3 linked regions of the Sus scrofa genome follow. Each later gene encodes a partner of the first gene's protein in a complex. Links are inferred from orthologs where the notes say so. Each region holds a gene or a part of one and is shown on either strand. Other genes may lie near its edges.

Evidence for each region. The genes of interacting proteins can lie anywhere in the genome.
Region 2: cytochrome c oxidase assembly factor 1 homolog (region 1) and TIMM21 share a complex: the UniProt entries of both Homo sapiens proteins name them as parts of the MITRAC (mitochondrial translation regulation assembly intermediate of cytochrome c oxidase complex) complex. The link is inferred for Sus scrofa from reciprocal best matches to the Homo sapiens genes COA1 and TIMM21.
Region 3: cytochrome c oxidase assembly factor 1 homolog (region 1) and TMEM186 share a complex: the UniProt entries of both Homo sapiens proteins name them as parts of the mitochondrial complex. The link is inferred for Sus scrofa from reciprocal best matches to the Homo sapiens genes COA1 and TMEM186.

Annotation. Positions count from the first base shown.
Region 1 is NC_010460.4:51,218,405-51,224,258, forward strand, and holds the start of cytochrome c oxidase assembly factor 1 homolog, read left to right. Parts: upstream 1-2,354; 5' UTR 2,355-2,575; intron 2,576-5,854. UniProt on the Homo sapiens protein: Component of the MITRAC (mitochondrial translation regulation assembly intermediate of cytochrome c oxidase complex) complex, that regulates cytochrome c oxidase assembly.
Region 2 is NC_010443.5:149,851,889-149,857,887, reverse strand, and holds the start of TIMM21 (mitochondrial import inner membrane translocase subunit Tim21), read left to right. Parts: upstream 1-1,984; 5' UTR 1,985-2,317; coding exon 2,318-2,615; intron 2,616-5,999. Other genes in the region: FBXO15 (F-box only protein 15), read right to left, coding at 1,220-1,347. UniProt on the Homo sapiens protein: Participates in the translocation of transit peptide-containing proteins across the mitochondrial inner membrane.
Region 3 is NC_010445.4:33,890,487-33,896,529, reverse strand, and holds TMEM186 (transmembrane protein 186), read right to left. Parts: upstream 4,016-6,043; 5' UTR 3,884-4,015; coding exon 3,881-3,883; intron 3,851-3,880; exon of another isoform or gene 3,222-3,850; intron 2,862-3,221; coding exon 2,226-2,861; 3' UTR 1,003-2,225; downstream 1-1,002. Other genes in the region: PMM2 (phosphomannomutase 2), read left to right, coding at 4,148-4,213. UniProt on the Homo sapiens protein: As part of the MCIA complex, required for efficient assembly of the mitochondrial complex I.

The DNA of each region.
Region 1 (5,854 bases):
TAGCCTGGGAACTTCCATATGGCTCAGGTGTAGCCCTAAAAGGCTGAAAAAAAAAAAAAGGCTTAGCAGGTGTAAGTCCAGTGATAGAAACGTAAATTCTCAGTTTTCTAGCAAACTATCAGAGAAGCCTGTCGTATGCTTTTCTTATTTACAAAGTAAACACATTTCTTTCTAGTATGGTACTAATTGATCCAGGATTAATTGTCATGAATATTTTATGAAATACACATATAAAAAAACCTCATCAGTTTTTTGTTAGTTGATGTATTCTGTGAAATATCAAGCTTGGTATAAGGCATTGCAATCTTTTTTTTTTGGTCTTTTTTTGTCTTTTTGTTGTTGTTGTTGTTGTTGCTATTTCTTGGGCCGCTTCCGCAGCATATGGAGGTTCCCAGGCTAGGGGTTGAATCGGAGCTGTAGCCACCGGCCTATGCTAGAGCCACAGCAATGCGGGATCCGAGCCGCGTCTGCAACCTACACCACAGCTCACGGCAACGCCGGATCGCCAACCCACTGAGCAAGGCCAGGGACCGAACCCGCAACCTCATGGCTCCTAGTCGGATTCGTTAACCACTGCGCCACGACGGGAACTCCAGGCATTGCAATCTTAATCTCTTTCTTTAGAAATTTAACAAGTCAAAAGTCAATGAAAATTACCCAAAGGATGCCTATTTTATTTCTTCATTTCCTCTAATGTATGAAACTATTCAAATATCCCTTATTGTTCAAGCAACTCAAAATCTGCTTAGTTTCCATTAATTCTTTAAAAAGAGAACTATTCTGGGGATTCATAATTTAATAACAGGCTACTTTGATAATGTGCTCATTTAACCAGTGGATTCCAAAGTGATGGAATGTATGTATGGCAACCTATTTGTTGCATGGGAAGAAAATGCATAAATTAGTATTTTTTATCTCACCTTTTAAAGGTTCTATTTCTTGCGGAAGTTTTTATAGCATGCATAATATGTATCTATATCATACATAGTATATGTTTATAGTCAAATTTTCTTTTCTGATGGGAATGTGATCAAGAGTTTGAAGACCATTGCTTTAGACTGCCCTTAATTAGTCTGGTTATGGAACACATCAAATCTAGGTGACTCACCTGAGACTCACTGCTTTGTGGAGGAAAGGTACTTGGGTGGTAGACTGGAACCTGGGACCCTTTACCAGAGTGCTTGCACCTGAACAAATAACTCTTCCAAGACCAGGAAGAAAACTATAAGGGACTAAAAATAATTGCATGCATGTGGCAGTTGGGGGCAATTATGAACCAAAAGATATAAAGAGGCCAAAGCCCAACTACTGGTTCAGGGGTGCCAGGACCAAAAGCAGTGGACTGCACATGATCCCTGCACAAAGTACCACCAAAGAAGTGGGCAGACCATTTCAGCTATGCCTCCTGCTCAATTCATGGACGGGGCCTCTCTTGTTAACTCATTTAAGGACTCAAACAGCGAGCAAGGGCACCTGTTTCTTATTTTCCTTATAGTCTTGCTTGGAATTTTTGGCCTCTTAGCAATTTCTGTTGATTAGAGTCTAGGGACTCAGGCGGGTAACACTGGGACTTCACGCTTAACGTTAAAAAAGTAATCATGCATAGCAGTGAGGACAATGGAATGGTCAAGATGAAAATAAGGTAACTGGCCTTTATTGAACACTTTAACAAAATGCCAGACTATTCTGAGTGGTTTATATTGTGATAAGAGGAGTTCCCGTTGGGGCTCAGTGGTAATGAACCCGACTAGTATCCATGAGGATGTGGGTTCCATCCTTGGCCTGGCTTAGTGGGTTATGGATCTGGCATTGCCTTGAGCTGTGGTGTCGGCCACAGAGGAGGCTTGGATCCGGCCTTGCTGTGGCTGTGGTGTAGACCGGCAGCTGCAGCTCCAGTTCCACCCCTAGCCTGGGGATGTCCATGTGTGTGGGCCTAAAAAGCAAAAAACAAAAACTATATATCCATCCTTATGAGAAATCTATTAAGTAAATTATTATTATCGTACTACTAAAATCCGAGAGCAAAGACCACTACATTTTTTTCTTAGCACTGCATTCCCTGGAGCACAGTAAGCAGTTCATAAATATTTGGTGAATTAAAAAAAATTTTTTTGCCAAATTTCTCCGCCAAATGGGGCAAGATGGACTTGAGGGCTAGAATGGGGCTCAGATGGCCCGTGGTTCTGCATCCTTGGATGTGAACCCAAGCGCCGATCCCTGCGAGGAGCAACGTGAACCAGAGGTTTAAATTTCCTCGGCAGCCACTGCGGGACTGAATGTGTGTTGAGGGCTCATGGCGCGCAGAAAACAAAAAGCGGGGATCTGAGGAGACAAGTCCCCTCCCGGCGCGGGTCCACCTGCAGAGACGCCAGGCACCAACCTGCACCTCGCTCGCCCGGGTCCGGGGTCCGCCAGCGGCGGGCTCGTCCCGACGCTCTAGCCCACGGGGAGGCGACGCCGGAAGTCTCGACTGCTCTCCGCGGGGCGGGGCCGCCCGCCGGCCTCCGCGCTCCCCCCGCCCCGCGGCTCCCACCGGACGTCCGGGAGGAGCCCTCCCGCTCTCCGCGGCGGCGTGGTAAGCCGGGAGGCTGGCACTGCCCGCGGAGGGAGTCGGGTCTCGGCCGCCCCAGGAGTGGGTGTTCCTGCAGCGCCGGGGGCCGCGACCGCGTCCCGGGTGGGCTGTGGCCAGGGGAGTCCCCTCCGGGGTCACCTCCGGGTTGTCACCGGCCTCGACCTCCCTCCGTTGCAAGGTTGGCACCTGCGGGGCCCTGGTGGGCTCAGCTCCTCGCGACGCTGTAAGGTGCCCCCTCCTGTGTGTCTCACCGTGGTCTTGCCCTGGGGTTTCGTTGAGCGTTCCCGGGAGCACATTTGTAAAGAAGTGGACCTGGGCCCTTTGTCCGTGGCCCCAGTTTGCAGCAGCCAGAGGAGGACCCTGCCTAGATGGCTGTAGAAAAGAGCTGTTTGGCTCAGTGGTCATAATACCTTTTGGCCCCGTCACGTTTGAGCCCCACACGGGGGCTGACCATAGAAGTGAGTTTCAGTGTAAGTGAGTTTCAGGTGTGTGTGTATGTATGTGTGTGTGAGAGAGAGGAATTTTAAAATTCACAAAGATTCTTATATTTTGAAATTTCCTTTTTTTTTTTTTTCCGTCTTCCCCTAATTCCTCCTCATTCTCACCTGAGTACTGCTCCGCTTCCCTTTTATTAAAAATAGCAACTCTTTACTTAGACTTTATACATTTAAAACACAGATCTGTGTTCATCCTCTGCTTAAAGTCTTACTGGCCTCCCCATTGATTGAGGATAATAGAAATTCCTTAGGCTGGCTTCAAGACCCTGCAGGGCCTTGCTTCTGATGAATTTTTCGGTCTTATCTCCTTTCACCAAACACACAAACACCCTGTATACCACCCCCGCCGCATGCCAACCTGCAGTCATTTCGTCTCTTTGGATATGACAGTTTTATAATGATTTACCCACATTTGGAAATTTATTTTTCTATTCAGTCAGAATTTATTGAACCCTGATATTGCCAGGCACTGTTTTAGGAGCTGAGGATATAATGGGAAAAAAAAACAAAAGCACACCCCAATCCAGTCTTTTTTTTTTTTTTTTTGCTTTTTCTTTTTTTGCTTTTTAGGGCCGAAAGTGTGGCATATGAAAGTTCCCAGACTAGGGGTTGAATCCAAGCTACAGCTGCCAGACTACGCCATAGCCACAGCAACACCATATCTGAGCTGCATCTGTGACTTGTACCACAGCTCCTGGCAATGCCAGATCCCGACCCACTGATCGAGGCCAAGGATCCAACCTGCATCCTCATGGATACTAGTCGGATTCATTTCTGCTGTGCCACAATGAGAACTCCCCAAGCTACAGTCTTTTTGGGGAAAAACAAAAAAACAAACCAGATTGAGATATAGGTCACATACCTAGAACTTTACAATATACTTTGGTTTTTCGTGCATTCACAAATTTGTACAAGCAATACCACGATCAATTTTGAAAAGTTTTTATCACCCCCAGAACAAGCCCTGTGCCCATTAGCAGTCTCATGATTTCCTCCTTACTCACTCCCACTCCTCCCCACTCTTAGCCCTAAGGGGCTACTGATCTACTGGGTGTATATATTTGCCTATTCTGAACATTTCATACAATGAAATTGTAAACTATGTGGTCTTTCTTGATTGTCTTTTTTCACTTTTAACAATCATGTTCATCCATGTTATAGCATGTATCAGCACTTCATTCCTTTTTTATTGCTAGGTAATATTTCATTGTATGGATATACCACCATTTATCCATTGGTCAGTTATGGACATTTGGGTTGTTCTGGCTGTTATGAATAACGCTGCTGTGAACATTTATGTGTACAAGTTTTTGTGTCATCATCATGATTTAATTTCTCTTGGTATATAGCTAAGGGAATTGCTGGGTCTCATGGTAACTCTGTGTTTAACATTTTAAGGAACTTCCAAACTGGTTTTTAAAGGAGCTGCACTGTTTTATGTTCCTGTCAGCAGTGTATGAATCTTCTCTGACTTTTTCAGGTCCTTGCCAATACTTGTCATTATCTGTTCTTTGGTTTTGTGTTTTCAGTTCTAGCCGTCCTGGTGGGTAGGAATTGGTATCTTGTTGCAATTTTGATTTGCATTTTCCTGGTGGTTAACGATGTTGAGCATCTTTTCATGTGCTGCTGGCCATTTCTGTGTCTTCTTTGGAGAAATGTCTGTTCATATCATTTGTCCATTTAAAAATTAGGCTGCTTGCTTTTTATCACTGAGTCGTAAGATTTCCATATATACTCTAGATACAAGTCCCTTATATATATGACAGTCTTGTGGAGTGGTTCCTTTAGATAGAAAGCACATGAGATTAATTACCACTCTTCTGGAGACATGTTAGAGGTCAGTGGGTAATTCAGAGTGAGTTGAACTAAGCTGCTGTGTGTGCAAGACCAGGCCCAGCAAAGTGTGAAGAACCTGTGAGCAGCATTTTAAGATTTGGAATGAAGCAGGGGGAAGAGTTTATATAATTTGTTAATTCTTGATTGAGTGTTGTCTTTGCCTTGTTGATCTGTAGGAGTTCTTCCTATAGAGGTATTAACCCTTTGTTAGATTTGGGGTGAATATTTGCAGTCTATCTGCCTGTTAAATTTACTTTGTATCTTTTACTAATGCTTTGCATTTTTGTGTCCTCAGGACTGTCAGTCTTCCTTTAAAAGGCTTCTCAGTGGTAGCTTGCTATCCTGTTCCTAAACCATGGGAGTTACAGAAACTGACAGTAGTTTCTTGGTTAAGGGGACATCTGAGTCCCTGGTACTATTTATTTAAAATTTAATTTTATTGGAGTATAGTTGATTACAATGTTGTATCTGGTATTATATTTAATTTTATAGGCAGGTCTTATTTTATTGTGCTTCATTCTGTTGTGCTTTGGCGTTAACTGTGTTTTTTACAGCTTGAAGGTCTGCGGCATCCCCGCACTGAGCAAGCCGTTTTTCCAAGAGCATCTGCTCACTTTGTGTCTCCGTGTTACGTGGTGGTGATTGTCACAATATTTTCACCTTTTTCATTATGAATCTCTTGTTCCGGCGGCCTGTCGTTAGTGATCCTTGGCATTGCTTTGGGGTGCCATGAACGACGGTGAACTTAACTGTGCCTCTGTCTTCTGCCTGCTCTACCCCCTGACCATTACCCTGTTTCTCTCCCTCTCCTCGGGCCTCCCTATCCCCCGAGATGACAGCGCTATGGAAATTAGGCTAGTTAATGATCCTCCAACGAGTCACAGGTTCAAGTGAAAGAACGTGTGGCCCTTCCTCCCTCTGAGTCTAACGCTTGGAGAGGGAAGCATGT
Region 2 (5,999 bases), on another chromosome or scaffold:
GCGGGTTAAGGATCTGGTGTTGCTGTGAGTTGAGGTGTAGGTCACAGACCCAGCTCGGATCCAGCGTTGCTGTGGCTGTGGTGTAGGCCATCAGCTACAGTTTCAATTAAACCCCCAGCCTGGGCACTTCCATATGCCCCAGGTGCAGCCCTAAAAAGACAAAAAAAAAAAAAAGAATGCAAACGGTCTTTAGCATTAACCCTCCACCTGCTAATCTAACTGGAATGATGGGTGCAGAGCTAAGAACAGCTCACGATAAAAGAGGGATTTAATACGGTATCACAATAGTATTCAGATGCTTTTGACAAACTGGGTCTCTCACTTTGTGAAGTAAGCCATTAACCTTGGAGTTAAGCTGCCAAGTTCCTTTTGGAAAGCAACTGCTTCCTCCTGTCCCCTGTTCCTTCCTCATCTCACCCTTCAAAGCTGCCTTTTCTCATTGTAGAAGAGGGGCACTCTTCAATTCCAGGGTACTCCGTAAGAAATGGAGCAGAGATGAGCCCCCCAGACACCAGAACTTGATACCATACGCCCCGCCCTAGCGCCTGGGCAGGAAAACGGCAGAAAAGGACTAGGGGCTGAGCACTAACGGGTGTCTGTCTAGAAAGCAACCCTCCTAGGTTTGCTTTGGAAAGCAGACTGGCCTTGAGGTCGGAAGTGCAGCTCCCAGACCAACCTGCCTAACAAAGAGTTATCTGGTTAGGGGTTGAGCCTTCCATTCACAAACCGCGCTCAGGAGAAAAAACATTTTTAAGAGTATATTCTACTTCTCTAGGATATAAAGTCAAGAAAAAGACAAAATGTGATTCCTGGTGCCAGAATAAGGAAGCAACTTCGGGAACACGTTCCGTAGAGGGGGCCGCTCGCACCTACCTCCGCAGGTGGAGCGCATCAACGCTGCGCCTCTCCCGAGGGCTGCTCGGGGTCTCGGGCTTACACGCCCCAGCTTCGGGCAGGGCCCATTAACTTAATGAACTGAGGGGAAAATATTCCCGAGAAGCTCCACTACTTGAATTTATTTGGGGTAGCCCCAAGCTCCCAAGCTTTAGAAACTTTTTCCCGCCGGCCTTCCAGACATTTCTCGCGCTAAAAGCAGCGGGGCAGAACCAATGAAAATCAAAGGAAAGGGAGGCGGGGGAGTAAGAAACTTCCCTTACGGGGGACTCCCTGGGCTCACACCCCCGCCGGCAGTACCCTGCCCGCGGCCCCCGAGAGTCACCTGAACCCCGCGCTCCTGGCGGCTTCTCCCGCGCTCCCGGGGGCCCAGAAGTCGCCGCCAATCCGCGGGCGCCGAGCCAGGAGGCCGAGCCAGTACTGCTGCAGGAGCCGGCCGCGTCCAGTCGCCATGGAGACCCAGCTGGAGCACCAGCAGCGCCCTCCTCCTTCCTACCGTCGCACCGCCCAGGGTCACGCCCACTCGACGCCAGCGCACGCCCCGACGTGCGTACGCAACGGAGGGGCGGGGTCAAGAACCACACCGCCTTTCCACTCGGAGTGGTTCTAGGAACGTATGGGGCCCGGTTTCTAGCAACTGCTGGAAGTCCTGACGCCTAGCAAGTGTATCGCCTGGACTTTACGGCGGCTACGCCCTTGCCCCTCCCCCTTGCTGACTCTGGCACTTTGCGGCTGCTTCCTGTCTGATTTCCTTGGAGAAACAAATACAAAGGCTGTGACACTTGGCCTTAAGGAAAGGCATAGCCACAGTCACACCGAGAACTTCCCAGTTTACATAGCCCTCTTTAGAGGGTTGTAAGAACTTGCAGTTTCTAATTGCTAACTTGACCTTCCTAGGTGCGTTTTGTGCTACGCAGAGCAGGGAGCCCCGCCCACCGTCCCAACATGGTCTCGCCTTTCTGTCGCGCCCAGTACGTGCGGTGTGTGCGCAGGCGGCCACGCAGAGGAGCTTGGGAGGCAGCCTTGGACTGTGGGAGATGTAGGCCTAAGGCCACTGCCCTTGCAGCAACTCTGTGAGGGGTGCTGCCCTCAAACTACAATTCCCAGGATTCTTAGGGGCTTCCTAGGTTACTTTGCAAAGGCCTGGCGGGGACAATGTGAATGTCAGCATAGAAAGTAATGAAAGCACATTAATTCAAGTAAAAAGAGGGCCGGAGAGAAGGGAAAGTGGACGTCAGCTCCTTTACGGAGACTTTTTGTCTTGATTTATGCTCCTTGTTTTTTTTTTTTTGCCGGACACGCAGTGCAGAACTACCGATGTGAATGCGGACTTAAGTCCGCCTCTGGCCGGGTGTGGAGTTGGTAGTGAAGATTTGCTCATCTTAGCTGGCATCTTCCCTCAGCGGAGCGGCTTTCTGTGAACATGATTTGTACCTTACTACGAGCTGTACGGTGCACGGGAAAGCTGCACAGCTTCTCGGGGAAGCAGTTGTTTTTGCCACACTTTGTACTTAACAAAGCTTGCTTGAAGACTGTGCCCAGTTTGAGGTGGGCTCTGCAAGAGCAGAAGACGGTACGACCTAGGTGTATTTGGGGAGTCACCCAGAAGACCATCTGGACGCAAGGACAGAGCACGCAGAGAGCGAAAGAGGACAGCGACAAACAAGTGTCTGTGCACAGAAGTCAGGGCGGGGATACTGCCGTCTCAACGTCACAGAAAGGTAAAAAGGAATTCCCTGTAACTATCAGTCTTTCAGCCAACGTGACGAGAGCTGCTACTGCCCTTCTACACAAGTTCAGTGCTGAGCATAAACAGCTTACACAAATTAAAAGGTAGAACCATTACACAGTTAAGAATTAGAGCATATGAGCCTACAGGTCTTTTCACAAATTCGAACTGAAATATGAAAGTTGATTTTGATAAAACTTAGTTGAATTGTGTCTGTAAATTTTTTCTCAACTTTTACTTGTGGAAAGAACTATGTAAAACTTAACCGTTGTTTAATACTTTACAATAGATAAGTACATTTCCCAGATGTTATTTCATCTCATTTGAGTCTCACATTTACTCTTTCAGACGTTAGTATTCATTAGTATGTACGAAGCATATTTGCCCAATTTCACACAATTCAAAATTGAATGTGAGTCTTCCTTATCCTCAGTTTTCTAATATCCAGGCCAGTGCTTTTTAAAACAACCACCCCTGTGTCTTTAGTCTTTGATAACACTGTCTCTGCCATTCTCTCTTAGATGTGATACTGTTTTTGATTTACTATCTTGGTCAGTGGGAGGCAGTTTCAGAGGCTTCCATTGGATTTTTCCCATTATAGTAGCTCTTAACCCACCTCCAAAGGAAGTAAAGAAGGGCCTGTTGTTGCCAATTACCACGCATATCCATTCCATTTCTACATTGGAAATCAGGGAAATGACTATCAGAGAAGGCGGTGGACCCAGCTATGAACCTCTTCCAGGCCAGGCTCTTTATCACATTGCCACCATAATGACTCTTTAGGGTTGATGTCAGCTCAGACTCTGTCTGGCAGACCTTGAAATGTTTGGGTAGTCCCCTTTCCCAGCATGCAGTTAATGGCATAGGTCTCTGATGAAGGGCCAGGGGAATCATATATAGTTACTCAGGTGCCCCCTGATAGAGGTTGGCCTCCCTTGGGTAAATGGATTCCAGGTCTGAAGACTGACTCAGGTCGAGAAACCAAGCCATTCATTGTGATGGTTGCTTCCCCCTGGCTTCACTACCATAGCTGCCCCCATGGCTTTCAGGACAGCTTGTTCTGTGACAATGTGAACGGTGGTTTCCAGACCCTTCTACATGACAGTCAGCTGGTGGGTTTCTGCCTCTGTCCTCTCTTGCAGACCCACTCTCTGTGACTTTTGATCATTTCCTACACAGTTTTCCATGGCAGTTCTGTTATTTTTGCTTCACTTAAGGTAGACCATGCTCTCTCCATCTTTCTAAGAGCGAGCCTAGCTGTGCATCTGCTCCCAGCCCGCTTGTCAGACTTTAGTTTCTAATCTGAGGAGCGTGCTCCCTTATTGATCAAGTCTCACTTTTCCCGTTCTGTATTCTTTGCCCCTTCATGATGCCCTTCATTCTGTGTCTCCTGGCTCTGCTGGTGGAGCCTCCAGCCTGTTTAGGAGTGGCTCATGTCCTCCTTCCCCTAGTTATGTTGCAGCCTGCCTAGAGCATAGGTCTTGCTAGATGGAAGCCCCAACCAGGTCTTCAAAGAAGAGGAAGAGCTAGCCTTTCCCTGGGAGGTGAGAGCTGCTGCTTCACACTGGAGGGTTCAGGAGAATCTGCAGATTCAAGATTTGAGATGCATCAGCCTCGATACACCACTGCCAAGCTTCAGGTTCCTTCCCAAGTCATGACCCTGGCCTCGGTGTGGGAAAGCTGGTGGGATTGAAAGTCCAGCCTCTCTGCTACTCTTTAGCCTGGGCCTTGCCCTCAGTGTTTTCTGCTCTCTGGGTGCAACGAATGAGTCTCTGGTTTTGCTCTCAAGGAGGCCTCTGCCTTTTACACTTGACCTTCATTAGTGATCAGTTACCTTTGTCTTCTTTCTTCAGTGTATTGGTGGCCCTCAACTACAGCCATCCAATCTGAGCCCTTCCAATTGCTTATTTCTCCTAAATTCCCAAAATATGACACCCACTAGGGCATTCCCTCCCACCAGTTTCCCAGGTCATCTGTGAGAGGCGAGACAGTTGTGCTATCACTGCTTGCCACCAGGGGTGGAGTCCTCAAGGCCAGCCGGCAGCCAGTGATGCAGCTCCAAAATCCCAATTTGGAGCACCTTCCCAGGACCACTCCTGCAGGCCCCACCGTAGGGCGAGTTCCAAGGAAGCCAACTCTGTACAGTTCGTCAGCGGGAGGTTTGAGGGCGTGTTTTCAGAATGCCTCTGTGAGGGCGAGGGAGGCAGGACTGGGCAGAAGGAGAAGCTGAAGCACAGGGTGTTTGCCTCAGCTGTTTCTGCAGGAGCTCAGGAACTGGGCTGGCCCTTGAAGTCCTCATCTCCAGGGGTGGGGGGCATCCACACCAGCCAAGCACTGGATATGGGCAGCGCCAGGGCTTTGGTGAGCAGGCTCTCTTCAGGTGCAGGAATTCCGTCAGCCAGCCAGCAGCCCGAGGGACTCCCCATGCTGGGGGAATGAGAGCCTCGGTCCTGAGAGGAGCATGTGGGTGCTCACCATAGCACCCCTAATTGCAGAGACAGATGGCACAAGGGTTTTGTATGAAAGTGTAGAGTCTGAAAGGGTCAAGGAGAGGAAGTAGGCAAAGAGCAGCTTCCACTGAAGACAACTATGAAATAACACTTAAGCTTTAAAAATGTGTGGATGGTGGGCTTTACATAGAATATATACAGTAGACATTTGTGGTTGAATTAATGGGGAAGAGGCCTCCCGGAAAGTCTAAGTGAGGCAGCAGTGACTGTGCTGGGAGGGCAGCCTCGCCATGACATGAGCCTTGCTCAGTGACTGTGTGGATCAGGCCCATGAACTACACATATTTTGGCAGATGCAATCTTTTTGTTATTTGAATCGCATCTTTTTAGTTAGGAATCCATACTGAAAGCTGGAAGGATTGCACTGTGCTAAAGAGTACTCTTAAATAAGTGTTATTTCAGAGTTCCCTTCATGGCTCAGTGGTTAACAAACCCAACTAGGAACCATGAGGATGCGAGTTCAATCCCTGGCCTCACTCAGTGGATTAAGGATCCAGCGTTGCCATGAGCACTGGTGTAGGATGCAGACCTGGCTTAGATCCCAAGTTGCTGTGGCTATGGCCCAAAGCTGTAGCTCCAATCCGACCCCTAGCCTGAGAACTTCCATATGCTGCTAGTGTGGCCCTAAAAAGAAAAAAAAAAAAAAGTGTTATTTCATAAAAGAAGTAGTAGCTTACTTTACAAAAGGGGAAAGTGAAGCAAACAATGGCTTCTGTTAATATTTTGTTTTTCTGAAAAAAAAAAAGTTCATGTTCTAGAAATCATAAGTTCTTAATGTGGTGAGTAAATCAGTCTGTAAATATAGGAAGCCATTCGTTTTTTTCAGCACCAGTTGGAAACTATGGTTGTACCTGTAATGTCTGAGC
Region 3 (6,043 bases), on another chromosome or scaffold:
GTGACTGAGTATTTTAAATGAGCGTCTATAACTCACACACAAATAAATTCAAATACAGGATAACATCTATGTTTTAAATAACTACTGAAACCACAGTGAGATACCACTTTACACCTATTAGGGTGGCTATTTAAGTTAAAAAAAAAAAGTGGGTAAACTGGAACTTTTATGCATCGCTGGTGGGAAAATGGTGCAGCCACCATGGAAAAGTGTGGCAGGTCCTCATAAAGTTAATTGTAGAATTACCCTATAATCCAGTAATTCCACTGATCAGAAAATATCCAAAAGAACTGAGAACAGGAGTTGTCTGGTGGCCCAGGGTTAAAGGATGCAGTTTTGTCACTCATGTGGCTCCATTTGCTGCTGTGGAGTGGGTTCGATCCCTAGCCCGGGAACTTCCACACACCGTGGACAAGGCCAAAAAAAGAGAGAGAGAGAATTGAAAGCAGGAACTCAGATATTTGTACCCCAGTGTACAGAGCAGCATTATTCACAATAGCCAAAACGTGGAGACTATCAAAATGTCCATCAAGAGATGACTGGATAAATAAAATGGGATAGAGACAGACATTCTATACGTTAGAAAGGAATGGAGGGAGTTCTCTGATGGCCTAGCGGGTTGAGGCTCCTGCGTTCTCACCGCTGTGGCTCTTGTTGCTGCTGTGCGGCGTAGGTTCAATCCCTGGCCCAGGAATTCCCACATACTGCCTGTGTGGCAAAAAAGAAAAAAAAAAAAAGAAAGGAATGGAGCTCTGGCACATGCTACAACATGGATGAACCCTGAAAAATTATGCCACGTGAAAGAAGCCAGACACAACATGCCACCTTAGTATATGATTCCGTTTATATGAAATGTCCAGAATAGGCAAATCCATAGAGTCAGAAAGCAGATTTGTGGCTGCCGGGACTGGAAAAGAGGGGAGCTGGGGAGTTACAGTTTAATGTGTACCACGTTTCTGGTTGGAATTGTGAACAAGTTCTGGAAATGAAGAGTTGTGACGGTTGAACAACACTGTAAATGTATTTTTTAATTTTTAATTTTTTTAAATTTCTTTTGCCATTTCTTGGGCTGCTCCTGCGGCATATGGAGCTTCCCAGGCTAGGGGTCGAATCGGAGCTGTAGCCGCCGGCCTACACCAGAGCCACGGCAGTTTGGGATCCGAGCCGAGTCTGCGACCTACACCACAGCTCACGGCAACGCCAGATCCTTAACCCACTGAGCGAGGCCAGGGATCGAACACGAAACCTCATGGTTCCTAGTGGGATTCGTTAACCACTGCACCACGACGGGAACTCCCTGTAAATGTACTTAATATCACTTATTGTACACTTTGAAATGGTTGAAAGGATACATTTATGTTTGTTTTACTACAGTTCTTAAAAAAGACTAGAAGGCCACAAAACAAATCCTAGTGATTTTTGACTTTTCAGTGGCAGAATTATAAAGATCATGACTTGCCCTTTGTTACAGATTATGTAGTAAACATATTACTAATTACCAGGGGCACTGCATATAGCTAGCTTTAGTTTATAAAGTACGGCTCCAGCATATCACTCATCTGACTTTATCACGTTGCAGAGCCTGCCCATGTGAGAGCCCCTAGACCTCTGGATGTGAACTTGCTTGGAGGACACCCCCACCCCAGACCCTGTGCCCTGAGGGGCTGGCGCCAAGGACCCACCTCCAGGCTTCATCCCAGTCCCTTCGGATCTGGGGCCACCAGGGGGCGCAGCACAGGCATAGAAGCCTTTTGCAGCACTAGCAACTCTGCACTAAGTGATATCGTTTATTTTCACACCCATCCCAGGAGACAGGATTTTTCCACTTTACAAAATGTGAGAACAATCTGAGAGACTTGATAACCCGCCTCAGGACAGGGATTTGAGAATGGAGGGACCCAGGTCTTCTGACACACCCCCACCTCTCTGTCTTTGATTTCCCAGCAGTGCACTGTTGGAACGAGCCTGGCATAGCTTCCTCCAAGATCTGGCTCTTAACAGAAACTTCTGGCCGTTGTCAATGTCATACATAAGTGCAGTTAAGAATTTGCACTCAGGGCCTCTTTCCTAAACCTGGTTGCTAGCTTCTACCTTGTGAATTTCTCAATTCCAGAAGACAAGTCCCTGGGGTCCTGACAGTTTCCAGCTGCCTGACTTCCCCACTTCAGCCTCACCCTTCCCTGAGCCTTCCTACGGGAGACCCAGGCGGCCTGGCTCCCAGTCCTTCACTTGAGTGAGTCCAGCGCCCCAAACACCTGCATGAAACGCTCCCGGTCCAGGATGCGTCCGTAGCGTAGGGTGAGATAGAAGGTCTGTTTCCCACTGTACTGCCGGATCCGCACAAACAGCTCCTGAGGCCGATCGTGGCTTTCTGTCATGGGGACCACGTCGGCCACGGGGCAGTACGTGTCCTGTCGCCGGCCCCAGAAGGTCAGGTGGGCCACCCGCAGCACCGTGCCTGATTCATTCACATAGAGGATGCCCACCAGCCTCCGGAAGAAATGGCTCATCCAGCACAACATGGCCAGCGCGAAGCTGGCAACTGCGCCTGCCAGGCACAGGGAGTTGAAGGTCATGAGGCCCTGGGAGTACCAGTAGATGCCAGGCGGCAGGGCCACCACTGTCAACGCTGTCTGTGCCACCTTCAGCTGAGAGAGGTACCCGAAGACCCTGATGGCATCAAACCGGTACACCATCTGAAATTTCTCAGTCTCTGTGCCCAGCGGGTTCTTCTTGGATGGCAGAGGCCTGCTCCCCGCCCACCTCCTAGGATCCTGCCCACTGCAGCGCCACAGCCTGTGGAAAGGCCTTCCCCATGCAGCCTGCCTTGGTGACCACAGCACAGCTCGGAGCAGGGCAGCCTGGAAAGGAGACAGGGAGACCATTTCTCTCTGGAACTCAGCCAAGCTAATCACACAAGGACCACATGCAAAACATCTGCTACAGAGGATCCTGCCAGCCTGGTGAGGTCAGCATGATTGCCAGAGATGGAAAGAAAGCTGAAATCAGAGGCTTTACCTCTACCTCACGTGATAGTCAGGGAAGCTGTGTGCTAAAGGAACCACTGCTTCTACTTTACCACTGAGGAAACTAAGCCCAGAGAAGGTGAGAAATTTACCCAAAGACACACAGTCAGGGAGTAGGGCAGTCTAACTTTCAAACCCAACCTCTTTCCTCCAGGCAGCTCAAGTAGGCGCAGGCTTCATTCATTCAGCACATACCCAAGGAGGGCCGGTTCTGGCTGGATACCGGATCCACGGCCTGTGTGAACACTTCCTCAAGCAGGAAACTAAATCAGTGTCCCAGTGGGGAACAAATCCGCTAGCTAATCATCATAATAACTGTAGAATTCTCGGTTAGGTTAAAAGCGTCATCTTGGGGGCAGAACGTAAACGCTGTTTTCTTGGCCTGGATTGAGGGAAGGGATAGAATGGAGGAGGAAGGGATGGAGGCGTCAACTCATAGCACAAGGGTTTTATTAGATGCACAGTTCTACACCTTGAATATTGCACCGAAAGGTGCTTTGAGCTTTGAAGCCAGTTTTGGGTTCCAACCCTGGCTCCTACAGTCACCGGCTGTGGATCGTTGGGCAAATTACTCCACCTCTCTGGGCCCTGGTTTCTCTATCAAAGTGGGTATCCGTAACATACTGAAGAAGGTAACAGTTTTAAAGCCTTTAAATGCAGTAATGCACGGTGAATGCTAAATTTTAGTTGGCCCACGTGACCTAGGGGGCATAGGACGGCGGGGAACCCACGTCGGAGGTCCCTCCTCCGGATTCTCCGAATCAGAACCTAAGGCGTCCGCAGGCCTGCCCGGGGCCTGACTCCGACCCCCAAAGCACGACCCCTCCCTTTCTTGCCACCAATTGCCTTCTTACCATGGCCCCGCAGCCTGCAGCTGGAAGCGAGTCCCTCGCGTTCCGGGAATCTCCGAGAACGTGTCCTCCGCCCTAATGGGACAGCGTGGGGGCGCGCTGCATTCTGGGATCTGTAGTCCAGCCAGCAAAGCCGACGCTAGTCTCGGGCACTGCGGGAGGGGAATTCTCTTCCCGGCGTGCCCTGCGGCACGGGGGCCGGACCCGGAAGTTCCGGGCCGGGTGCCAGGTGCCAGTAAGTCGTGTAAGGTTTACGTGGAAACTGGGGTCATGGCTGCTCCCGGCCCAGCGCTCTGCCTCTTCGACGTGGACGGGACTCTGACCGCTCCCAGGCAGGTAAGCGGTGCAAAACTCCCTACGGCTCCCCGGTGGGTGTAATGACCGTCCAGGTAGGCGACCTGGGGCGGCTAAGGACCGCCTACCTCCCACGGAGGGGCTGAACTTTACTCTGGGTTCCTTGGAGTCATGAGACGAAAGCTCTCACCAGCTTTTCGAGACTTCAGGGTCCTCGGAGAGAAGGGACAGGCTAGGAACTCTTGAGAGCAAGGAACTTTGATTGGAAAACGCAGTTCTGGACTCTCATCAGCACCCCTGGGTTTGAATCCCGGATCAGCCGGGTTTACCAGCTTGTGTGCCCTCTTCAGACCTATCACCTGTGGTCTGCGCCTGTAGCCTGACATGAAAGACATAGGTTTCCAGGCCAAACAGACCTAGCAGAGTCTCTGCTTGACAGCTGTGTGACTTGAGCAAGTTAGTTAACCTCAGAGCCTCAGCATCTGTGGCTTTAAATGGGGCGTCTACCTGTTCCATGTGATGTTTGAATGAATGGATGAAATCATTTAAGTTCTTGAAAGTTATCTTACATACGGTAGACTGTGCTCAATAATACTCAGTAAGTATTCGCTGCCACCGCCACTCCCTGCTCTAGCCTTGCAGTGGAAGGGGGTGATAGAGGAAACCTAGATTGCCACAGGCTGCCTGCCGAGAACCTTCTTGGACTCCTGGAAACTTGCTTTCCATTTCCAGATTTTGCTGCCACGAGCACGGATAGGTCTCAAGATGAACCGTTGTGATGAAGCTTACCCTGACCTACCCTTTGCACACATTAGAAGAGCAGCCATTTGAACTTGAGACTGGCGCTAAATGGCCTCAGTCTCTCTCTACCCTGCTGCGTTTGGGTCGGGTGGTAGCACTGGTGTGCTCCAGAATTCCTCACTGAATGCGTGTGGCCTTAGATGTATCATTTTACTTTTCTGAGCCACAGGTGCTCTGTATGTACTGATGATGCACAGTTGTAAGTTCTCCACAGGCCCTTTTTGACTCCGTAATCAGTGCACACTTGCAAGTTGTTAAACACTCAGAGTGGCCTGGAGCCGAAGTCAGCAGTTCATTGTTTGCAAAGGGCCAGATAGCAAATACTTCCGTGTTTGCTGACCATATGGTCTGTAGTAACTATTCAACCTAAATCCAAAAGCAGCCATAGACCAGATGTGGACCTAGCACAGCTGTGTTCCAGTAAAACTTTATTACGGACACAAACTGCTGCTCTAATTGGCCCATTGGCCGGAGTGCTCTCTTAGGTTTACTTCCAAGCCTTTTGACATATCATTGGACCCTGTCGACCTTTCTCCCTCTTTGATCCCAGGTAGGATAGTTGTTATTTCATTTTAAATAAAGAAACTGAGACTCTGTGAAACGTGATCTGGATTTCCCACAGCAGATCTGGTGCAAGTCTCTGGGCCTCAGGGCGTTGTTGTTTGCTAAGATGGCCATTTTCTTCCACCGCCCAAAAGGTTGGAGGCTGTTCTGGTTATTACGCATGTGGTTCAGGACAGTAAAGAAGCATAAGGCATGGAATAACAACACCAAGCAACCTGCAATGTAGTCCCTTAAAGCATTTGAAACATGACATTCTTTGACATTCTTCTGTGAACATAAGTAATTTTTACGCTCAAAAAAAAGGTCTAATTTAGGAGTTTCCATTGTGGCTCAGTGGGTTAAGAACCTAGCTAGTATCCATGAGGTTGTGGGTGCGATCCCTGGCCTTGCTCAGTGGGTTAAGGATTTGGCATTGCCAAAAGCTGTGGTGTAGGTTGCAGATGCAGCTCAGATCCAGTGTTGCTATGGTTGTGGCACAGGCCGGCAGCTGCAGCTCTGAGTCACCCC